Xenopus tropicalis: one gene and its partners. The protein of the gene in region 2 interacts with the protein of the main gene of each other region in a pairwise test. Links are inferred from orthologs where the notes say so. Each region holds a gene or a part of one and is shown on either strand. Other genes may lie near its edges.

Region 1 (3,657 bases), on a different chromosome or scaffold from region 2:
CATATCTCCTGCAGTCTTACTTGGTCATCTAGATCTTGCCTTGATATAACTATTTCCCTAAACTGTAATTTCTTAATTACATTACAGACAGTGGAAGTTGTATGCTGGAAAGTTTTGCAATCTTTTTATAGAAAACTTTGTAGGCATTTACTTAATTTTCATATCCTCACTGTGGTTGCTTAGAAGAATCCATGGTTGATTAGTAACAGCCCAAAGTTCGGCGTGTCAGATTTTATGAAGTTCTGCACTTGAAAACACATGACAACTTCTAATGGCTATAAAAGGTAATTAGGCCAGGGATCTTGCAAAAACAGAGTTTATTACTGGAAAAGTGTAAGGGTCTCCAAATTTTGCACATGCTTCAGTTACTATTTCTTTCTGTGTATGTTTTTTTTAACATTTGAAAATATGTTTTGGTTGTTAACTCACTGATTTCTGCAGTAGATCTGTTGTGCTTCCCTATTTGCTAATAGGTAATTTTAATATAATAAATGAATTTACCACCACTCTTTAATCTTTCATCCCATATATTCAAGGTCAACATTTCTTCTGTTAAACTATATCAGATATTTTGCTAAAATCAATACATGCGCTGCAAACAACCCCCCCCCCCCCCCCCCCACCAGCCAAAAACATAAAAAAAAGTAAGAGTATTGAACTTTAGCAGGAAATATTACCTGAGCTATCTCTTCTGGTGTTGTAACAGGTTTTGACTGATTTTTTAACTCTTTGATGACCGCATCTACTGCCATCATTACACCTAAACAAGTAATACAAAAACGGAAATGTTACTACATACATACTATATTATATATATAAAAATTATGTGGTTAGAGATCTGTTTCTAAATATCAGTGGTTAATAAACCGAAGTCTATGTATTTAAACGTATCTAGAGGTCACCTGGGATATGCAACAAAAGGCACCAAATTAGGCAATGTGCAGCAACCCTTTATAAACCAGTCAGCAGAAAAATGTACTGGTCACACGCTTTAAATTTTATAAGGGTTACTGCAAACTTTGCACCTTTTATTACATAAGGGACGGTCTCCTAAAGAGTTAGTGAGGGATAGCATCAGGGTTCAGTACTCGTGATGTGTAAGCAAACAGAGAAGGAATGAATAGAAGTATTTAATACATCTGTCCCAACAGAAACATCATTTGCAGATATTATCAGAAATGCATTTCAGTAGTTCCATTTATAGCTTTACTTTGTTCTGGAAATAAATATAAAGTTATTTAGACTGCCATTGTGCTTTATGGCCTTGGAGCTCTTTGAGAGAACCGTGAAGGACAAACCATCATTCATTCCGTCACCATTTTGCATTGAAAGGAAAAGAGCAGTGGTTGACACTGGTGATGAAACGGTTAGCTTGATCAAGTACATGAGGTTAAACTTTACAGATACAGGTCTTTCTTTAACTTCACTTTCTATGTTTCTATGTAATGTTTTGGCACACATACAATCAGTGCTGTCATTTTAGTGGTGATATTGTAAGAGTAAAATCTGGGTTTTAGTATGGTATCTAAAAAAGTTAACACTAAATGCTACAGGACTTGTCAATACCCATTTCAGTGGAAAATAATGGTGTGCCAGAAAGCAAAATTTATGTTCCGTTAACGTAACTTCTGCAATCCAAAGGGAAAAAAGGGGTTTCAAACTTACCTCTTCTAATTTCTACTGGATTTGCACCTTTGCTTATCTTTTCAAAGCCTTCTTTAGCTATAGACCTTGCAAGGACAGTTGCAGTGGTTGTTCCATCACCTGCTTCTTCATTTGTGTTGTTAGCTACATCTTGAACTAGTTTGGCACCTATGTTTTTGTATTTATCTTTCAGATCAATTGCTTTTGCAACTGTTACGCCATCTTTGGTTACTTTTGGACTTCCCCAGCTTTGTTCGATAATAACAGTTCTTCCCTAAAAAGACATTTAAAATAAAGAGAAAATAACAGTTGTATTCCATGCTCAAGAAGTTTATCTTCTGTGTTAGCAACACTACTGCATATGTGCAGTAGAGTTAACCATATGGTATTTGCATAAACATCAGGATTCTGAAGATTTGTCTCAAAGGTGGGGGGGTGAATTCCTTCCTGAATAAAGAGCAACTGGACCAATCTCTGGATCAGCTGGGTGCATTTCAGTAACTTTGTATTAAATTGCTTTCTAAATAGGCATGCAACCCTATTTTAAACTGTCTAATGTACATATGCTTAACAGCTCACTTTTAAAAACACGAAACCCCTTTTTGAATCTTACAATGGAACCTCCATTCTTTTAAAGCCCTTGCATCTCCTCAAAGGATCTACTGGCAAATATGTATATTTTTATACAGTTGCCTTGTATAGTTAGATATTGTAATCATATTCCCTATAAAAGTGAGGGACACCTTTGCACAACTCTGAATTTAAACAGCGAGTGTCAGCAAAAACATCTCAAATTATCTTTTAGAACAATCTGCTGTAAAGATAAATACCAGTGCAGCAATGAAACCCAGTCCCAAAAGTTTTTCTGTTCTGCCTGTGTGACGTGCAGACGTTGTATGCAAACACTGACACATTACTTACAATACCCTTCCAATAAGGTCATTAGTGAAGAAGTTAAATAAAAGTGGACCCAATACAGACCCCACTAAGAACCTTACTCCAGGTAGAGAATGTACCATTAAAGGACAATGAAAGGTTAATATAAATTAAAAGTAAGTCTAAAGGCATTCTTTTTAAGTACTTACTGCATATCTAAATTCCCAGATCCCGGCTTGTTTCTCTGAGATATGGTGCTGGCAGCCTACAGCAGTGTGAAGACTACAGTGACATCACTGAAATCTCTGTCCTTCCTGTAGGTGCCAGCGGCAGCCTTCCTATTCTCTGAGCATGTGTGTAACTTGATCCTGTCTGCTGTTCTGAGCTACACATGCCCACCAGCCAATCAGAAGCGGATCTGGCAGAGGGGAGGGGGGGGAGGGAGTGAAACACATTGCAGTATGAAGCAAGGAGGGAAAGGAAGGGAGAATACCTTTTTAGAGATGGCTGCCTGTTCTAGACAATGTGAATTAAGTGTGACTGAGTAAATATTTGATTAGGTGAGCCAAAAGTGTGGCGTTTTTACTAAACAATAGGAGTATTGGGCAGTATGCTTTTTAAATTTTGACTTGCATTCTCCTTTAACAACCACCCTCTGTTCCCGATCCTGTAGCCAGTTTTCTATCCATGTGCAAATGACTTCACTAAGACCAACAGACCATAGTTTAGAAAGCAGTTGTTTCTAACACTGTATCAAATGCTTCTGTCAATGCTGATTTAGGAGTCTCTTAAAAATTTCTGTTTCAGTTGTGCAGTTTAATTTTTTTATCAACATTTTGTTAAAGATTTCATATCATACATTTATCTTGTAATATACTAGCATGTAACATAAGTAAATAAGAGAACAAAAAAGGCAGCTACATACAGAGCAGCTTAACACATTACACACTAGAAAGAAAAAACTACCACAAAATTCAAGTACATATTCTTCACTGCCACTTTAAACAAGTCCTAGCTTTCAAGAGTATCTTCTAGTATAATAGTGTAATACTAGCTTATACTCAACTCAAATAAATATTAGTAGGTGCTAAAATAGGTATTGTCCTAAAAACATACAACATTTTTGTTAACATGCTA
Region 2 (3,747 bases):
ATTACCCTTTCAAGTTTTGCACATAACGTCCAAGATCCAAGATGGACAGGTCGGAAGTAATTATATAAGTGATGGGGGAATGTCAAGTCAGGTTGGGTTAGAGCAGTTTTAGGTTCAGTCGCCATCACTAATCCTTATATATTACAATATAGGGGACAATATTTTCTATTTAAAAATACCAAAACCTAGCAATATATATATATATATATATTTACCTTTAACATTTGTAAACATATACGCACACAACCAGGTATGGGATCTATTATCTATTGGATCTGCATTCCCTAAGCCTACTAAAAAAAAAAACAAAAACATTAATAAAACCAAATAGGAATGTTTTGCCTCCAAAAAAGATTAATTATATCTTAGGATCAAGTACAAGGTACGGTTTTATTATTACAGAGTAAAAAATAAATCATTTTTAAATAAATTTAGTCTATTTGCTATTGAGCTTTCTGGATAATGGATTTCCTGATAATGGATCCCATACCTGTATATACATACATATATATATATATATATATATATATATATATATATATACATATATATATATAAACTTGCACCACACGATTTGATAAAAAAACTTTTATTAAAAGGAATACATACACTAATTCAAGTCACACTGGATTTCCAAAACCTGTAAGAAAATCCACGAGGTTCCACATCACTTTCAATATTCTTACATTAAACAGATGGGGGTAAACTACCTCCTACATGGATAAGGAGCAGGAGCCCCAAAACCAAATGAGGCTGAATTTCTTGCTTGTGCACTTCAAGCCTCAAATTGCTTCATTTATCACTGCTCATCTTACTGTATGTGATTCTAACAAAACTTCAGAGAAGCTTTATCAAATTTCTTTGGAAAAACAAAAAAAAAACAAAAAAACCCAGAGGAATGTAATATAAGCCCAGCTTTATTCATTCCATACGACACGGAATAATGTCAGCAAAGGCTTACAAGCTTGATTTTCACTACTATTACTTCCACAGCCCTAGCACTTCATTTAGTGAACTATGTATATGGGAATCCAGTGTAATTGTATTTCCTCATATGAATTACACTTCAAAAGGATGCTGAGAGTTGTAGTTCAAAAGCAACTGGAGGGCTGCAGATTTCCCCATCACTGTGCAATCTCAGTAACATGCACATCAAAACAGCATGGAATATACCACAGACACACAATTCTAAGCCATAAAGGGCTATTGCAGTGATCAGTTATAAAGCCTCAAAAACAAGAGCCATTCCTGCTGACTAAGCTGAAACATGGGTGCTCTATTCTCTGACAGAGATGTCAAACGTATTGCTCAGTCGAGCCAAAGGATCATTCTGCATCCATCCCTGATAGCATGGCCACTGGGTGGCACAGTTACAGCACACTGACTGGATTATGCAATAAACATTTATATAATATCATGTCTTAATGCCTTGGCAGGGGAAGTAGTATGGCAACTGCAGTACTGGGTATTAGACAATATAAAACATGCAACAAACACACACCATTACAAAAATCCTATTTTATGAAGCCCAAAAATATGTTATCCCTGTAATAACATGGACTGAACAAATACCTACAACCAATCATTTTACTATTCTCTCAATAAGCAACAATCTGTAATTGTGAGCATCCTCAGTCAGCCTTTACTCTGCAAGGGATATCTAACAGTTCTCTTATCCTAATATTTTCAACAATCTGGGGGTAGCTGTATTCTTTTGCACTCCTCACTTCCTCTAGGAAGATAAAACAGGAAGTGGTAAGTGCAAACTATACAGCTTACCCTTCCTTGTCAAATGCAAAGTAGCACTAACCTAAGACAATATGGAGGCATCTAGCCCCACATCACACATATTGGGAATCAAGCAAATGCTCCTGTATACACTTTCACTGAAATTGTTTTAAAATCTGCACCAAAACTGACGGATGATATAATTTGGAAGAAATGGTCCAATGAAGTAACAGGCACCAAGCAAATTCCATATCCTCATCCCCAGCTGCCAGATTATATAAGAACCCCATTATTATTCCCACACTCCAAGGGGAAGCGAAATGATCAGACAAGCACATTTGCCTTTTCATATAGATATGTCACAACGCTTGGCCAAGGGCTGAGTGCAATGCAAGTATTTCCTTTATTTATTGCATCCAGAAAAAAAGCAAATAGCAAAGAAAAGTGAATGGTTCCACTGACAGCTGATTTTTAATTACATATAATGCAGGAAATTGTGCACCAGAAAGAGATATATTTTTTTTTTAAATAGAAAAGAAAACACTGCATTAGTTTTATTTAGCTTATTATATTTCACTATTAGGAAATAAAAGCTGCTGATTTTACAGTTCATCAAGTGAAAAAAGCTCTGCAAATCCCCCCAAACAGAAATGGTTCGTCCCACACAGGGAAGAGGAGCAGTGAAACTGCCCCACAAGCCGCTAAGTTTATACACAACTGTCAGGGGAATCCAAACTAAACATCCGGGGTCTGAGAGGAACAGGGACAAGAAGGGGAGAATGCCAGGCTTTCCCCACACTGCCCCATTCATTTAGTGCTCTCTATCCATCCCACAGATAAGGTTCCCTTACCTTCCCTGGGTCCATCCATCCCACAGATAAAGTTCCCTTACCTTCCCTGGGTCCATCCATCCCACAGATAAAGTTCCCTTACCTTCCCTGGGTCCATCCATCCTGCACAATGCGCACAAGTTCCCCAAGTGAGCAGAGGAGCAGAATGCTTTCGGCTGCGCAGTGATTAGCAGCTGCTTCTCTTTCTGCAGACACATAAACCCTCTCCCGACTGCCCTTACAAAGCCACGGCTGCCTCCCTCTCCTGCAAAACTGATTAAGTTTGAAAATGTTGCTCTCCTGCCTAACTCCTCTCTCACTCCCGCCCCCCTTGTCATGAATCTCTCCGCCTCCCAGCAGTCCCTGCGCGGCCAGCCCACTGCCTGCCCATGTCCTCTCAGTGGCCCCATAGCTGGGAATGTGCAGGGAGTGAGGTTACTGAGCTATCAGTCTGTAGCCGTATCATGATCCCAGCTCTCATTAGCCCAGCTCTCATTAGCCGTGTCATGCAGCAGGGGCAAAACAAACACAAAACTACTGTACCGAGGGACTCTGTTTTGTTGGTGACAGAAATTTTAGTGCTCAAACCTAAAAATCCCTCAGTAAAAGTATCTATATTTTTGATTTCTTTAACAAAAATACATTCAGTTGACTTTAAATGTCAACACTTTGAAAGAAATTTGGGGGCCTAACAGGGTTGGATTTACAATTAATGCCACCCTAAAGGTGCCATAAACGGGCAGATTTGGATCCTTAGGTCTAAGTTGCCTACATACAGTATCTACTGTGTATGGGGCACTCTGATGGGCCTACCCAAACAACTGGCAGATATTGATCAGAAAATGTAATATTTTGCCAAAGCAATGACCACATTGGCTAATTGATTTAGTCCTCCCTTCACGCCCCATATCCCCGCCATTTTGATCCGATTGTTTGGCCCTTAAGGGGAGTGTATTGGTGAAGGATACACAGCGCTGTACATTCTTACAATGTACAAAAGTACACACAGGGAGGACACATGCCAGGTTGTGCTCGGACAGAGTAGCTGCCACCTCTTTCTGAAGGGCATCTTGAATCTCGGCATCTTAAAACGCCAGCCCTTAGTCCACTGAGAAGTCCTCTGTTTAAACAAACCTCTCTCGTACCTTCTTATGAGGTAAAGGGCAACTTATTATACAAAGGGCTTCTC
Region 3 (3,757 bases), about 49 Mb from region 2:
ACAATTATTCAGTGCCGAGCAATGATTGTTTCTTCATTGCCTGATTCCGCTTGCCTGGGGAGAGTGTGATGTTGTGAGTCAGTGGGCAGGGCAATAGTGGCTGATACATCCTAAGAGTGCATCTGCCATTTTGATAACACTTAACAACAATAAATGATTGTAGCTATTACAGTGCGATAGAACATTTTCTAAAGCTTACATCAAGTGAAGGAGGCACATTGAGAGGAAATAATTTAGCAACTACGTAGGCCCATTGAGAGGAAATAATATAGCAACTAAGTAGAATTATGGATAGATGTCATGTGGAAAGAATGAAATACAGGCTTTCCTTGTCGTTTAAATTTGGCAAATATTCCCATTCTATTCAGAGATGAATACTGATATTGCAGTGACTAAGCAATAACTGCTGAGCTACAGAGAACTTTGTATGAAACGTTGATCGGATGGCAATGTTAAAATAAAGATTGCATTTTTATGAAAAGCCCATGGAGTGCGCTAACAACATTTTTTTTATTTTTTGAATATATACATGTATATATACACATATACAAAAACCATGAATATCCTGTAAATTTTATCCTTATAAACAGTTACATCAGTTGTAACCGGTGCACTTGGCTTTCAGCTGTATACATTTATCTGGTAATGAAAAATAAATCTATATATATATATACTGTATACATATATAAATATATACATATAAATACTGTATATATATATTAGCAAAATTGTTTTGTACTAAATATTCATTTGCAAAGTTTTAGATGAAAAACTTTAGTACTTTTACCCTTCAGGATATGTTGAAAAAAAATATAATTGTCCACAAGCACAAGCTGAAGAACAGGTTACAGCCACTATGATAAATAATTAAAAAAGAGGTCTCTTTCTGTTAAAGAGGGCAGGGCAAGAATGTTCCTAAGGCTTCCTGGGTGTGGATCAGATTGTGTAACCTTACCTGAAGCTGCAACATCTCTGTTTGTCACATCTACTTTGCTTAGCATTTCCAATAGGAATCGAGTGTCTTCTGCAGAAAGGTGTGAGTCAGACAAGTAGCTATTTAGCACATTTGCTTTCGTTCTCTATTCTTTCATTTAAAAGAATCTCAAGAGGGTTACACGCATCAGAGAATTAGAAGAGAAGATCTAAACTTCAAAGACCAGACAACGTAATAATGGAAGAACAAGACACTAAAAAATCCAATGGTTCATTTTCTGAAGATGCCAATGACACAAGTATTACTGATGAGAAGGACATTCAGAATGGACCTGGCTTTGATCAAGGAGGCACAAAAACAATCCTGAAAACCAACATTAGCTCTGGAGGGGTAAAGGGTGGCAGAGTGAGTTTTGGCTCTGAGAGCCCTGAAATCCGGCGCTCTGGCCGTACAAGTACTAGCTCTAACATAGAACCTGATGATGTTCTGTGTGATTCATGCATTGATGACAAGAAAAAGGCTGTTAGGTCTTGTCTGGTCTGTCAGACATCCTTCTGTGAAACCCATCTTAAGCCCCATCTGGAGGGGGCTGCTTTTCGTGACCATAAGCTATTGGAGCCCATTAGAGACTTTGAGGCCAGAAAATGTCAGCTCCACAGCAAAACAATGGAGCTGTTCTGTCAAACTGACCAAAGTTGCATATGCTACCTTTGTATGTTCCAGGAGCATAAGAATCATAACACAGTGACTGTAGAGGCTGAGAAGTACGTTAAGGAGGTGAGTATTGTTTGTACTGCATATGTACTGCATATGTGCAATCCATGTTATGGAAAAGTAGTCATGTAAAGTAAACTATTACAGGTTAGGAAGCATCTACCATGAAAACTGTTAATTACTAATACTGTAAAGAAATGGCCACCTTTTATCTTTTGTGTGTGGATGCAAGATGTTTGGGCTAAGAATTATAAGAAGAGTTTACTAGGCAATGTCCTATATAGCCCCTTGACATCAAACTGGTAAGCAGGATAGGGGTCCTAAAGTTATCAGATGACATAAGTATAAAGGTACTTGTGCTAGAGAAAAGACTGGATATAAATAATACCATTAGATATTACATTTTCTTCAGTCAAATAGATGATGGTATAACAAAATGCTACAAAATGTTGGTTTGTTTCTGAATGCAAAGCAGGTTTTTAAGGAGAAATAAGAGAAGTAGAAAAGAGACTCTCCTTATTATTTCTTTTTATATAATAATTACAAAATAAAGGTATAAGCATGTTTAAGCATGCTGGGACTTGTAGTCCAACATAAGGTCAACTAAATACATTAAAAAAAAGCTAAAACTAAGTAAATATGGATAAGCACCATGCATAGATTTATGGTTCACAAAGAAAATATTCCTTTCACTCTTTGTTGTCTTCTGCACAGAAATATTGTTACCCGCAGCTTGCTGAAAACATTCATGCTCTTTTATGCATGACCAGTGTTATTTTTAAGAAGGATAAACATGTACTAGGTATATTTATTATGTCCAAGTTCCCTTAAGTTATAATAAAGTGTCCCGTTATCAATAAATAACAATGATAATGATTACTTAGGGGATTTATATGAGGATTGAAAAACTTTGAAATTGAATACAAATAGTCCTGTGGATAGAATCTGCAGATTAGTAATTAGGTTCCTGATAATCTCCATATTTAATGCTAACTTGAATGCTAAAATAACTTGATGAAAACTGTCAGGCTACATCAAACTGAAAAAATATTTTCAGTCAGTTATTCACTGGAACTTTTATAAGGTATGGAATCTATTTTCTGGAAGTCCCTTATCCAGAAAGCTCTAAAAAAGGGGATGCCATTTGCTTATTTCGACTGATTTCTTTTTGTTCTGTATCAATAAAACTTGATGTTTCACTTGACGGGGCCTAAGATGCACTAATTTTAATGTCTACATTTTTAGGAGCTGTAAATGCTGGTGCACAAAATTATATTAGGATCCCGTATCCAGATAATGGATCCCATACCAGTATGAATGTGCGAAATATCAGAATACAAACTGCCTGTACTTAAAAATGTTTTCCCTTTAAGTGGAAGTATCAAATAACCAAACAGTTACTGAGCAAGCTGAGCAGGAAAATCCTCTTACAATTCATTTGCTGATGTTTAGTGCTCTAAAAGGGTTAAAGTGAAAGGCTGAAATTCTGGAGAAGTCTTGTCTGAACACGACAACTATGGGCGTCTTCTTAATTACAACATTTCTTGCATGCCTCTATAATGTCTTTAAATCTATGGCTGGTTTGCTGTCCCGCCTTGGGTGTGCCTAAGCATCTTTTAGACAGGGGAATTGCCTGCAGCTAATACTGCATATTGGATAGACTGACGTCACCTCAGCCACGCCTGGGCAGGTTTGGGAACAGTGTGCAACAAGCATGAAAAGGAAGTCATTGACAGTGTGTTAATGAGTCTCTTCTCAGGTCTTTTAGGTTTCTGCTAGATTTCTGGAATGTAATATCTGACAAAAATTAAAACATTTACCTTAAATGTAAACTTTTGTCCTGTCCTGGTTCGGTAGTTAAAACTTGCTTATGCTAGGACCTGTCAACAAAAACACCCTGTCTATTGATAGTAGTCATTTTAAGTATTAAACCTTTGGGTGACTATTCATCTATTCTCATATAAAACAGGCACGAGGCACTGTTGGTAGGCACTTATTAGTGCTTGGAAAGAATTTACATAAAAGAATGATTGTTAAGGCTAAATTGAAACTTAAAGCCTCTGCAAAGGTCTTCAGTACAGTGAAAGTGTTCAAAAAGTTGTGTTTTTT

What was found.
Region 1: the proteins of lzts2 (region 2) and hspd1 interact in binary tests that used the Homo sapiens proteins (3 or more experiments, as listed by UniProt). The two-hybrid records come from large-scale screens. The link is inferred for Xenopus tropicalis from reciprocal best matches to the Homo sapiens genes LZTS2 and HSPD1.
Region 3: the proteins of lzts2 (region 2) and trim29 interact in binary tests that used the Homo sapiens proteins (3 or more experiments, as listed by UniProt). The two-hybrid records come from large-scale screens. The link is inferred for Xenopus tropicalis from reciprocal best matches to the Homo sapiens genes LZTS2 and TRIM29.

Annotation. Positions count from the first base shown.
Region 1 is NC_030685.2:46,530,179-46,533,835, forward strand, and holds part of hspd1 (60 kDa heat shock protein, mitochondrial), read right to left. Parts: intron 1,919-3,657; coding exon 1,666-1,918; intron 761-1,665; coding exon 678-760; intron 1-677. UniProt on the Homo sapiens protein: Chaperonin implicated in mitochondrial protein import and macromolecular assembly. Together with Hsp10, facilitates the correct folding of imported proteins.
Region 2 is NC_030683.2:29,764,610-29,768,356, reverse strand, and holds the start of lzts2 (leucine zipper putative tumor suppressor 2 homolog), read right to left. Parts: upstream 2,820-3,747; 5' UTR 2,662-2,819; intron 2,601-2,661; exon of another isoform or gene 2,580-2,600; intron 1-2,579. UniProt on the Homo sapiens protein: Negative regulator of katanin-mediated microtubule severing and release from the centrosome. Required for central spindle formation and the completion of cytokinesis.
Region 3 is NC_030683.2:79,151,535-79,155,291, forward strand, and holds the start of trim29 (tripartite motif-containing protein 29), read left to right. Parts: upstream 1-943; 5' UTR 944-1,171; coding exon 1,172-1,711; intron 1,712-3,757.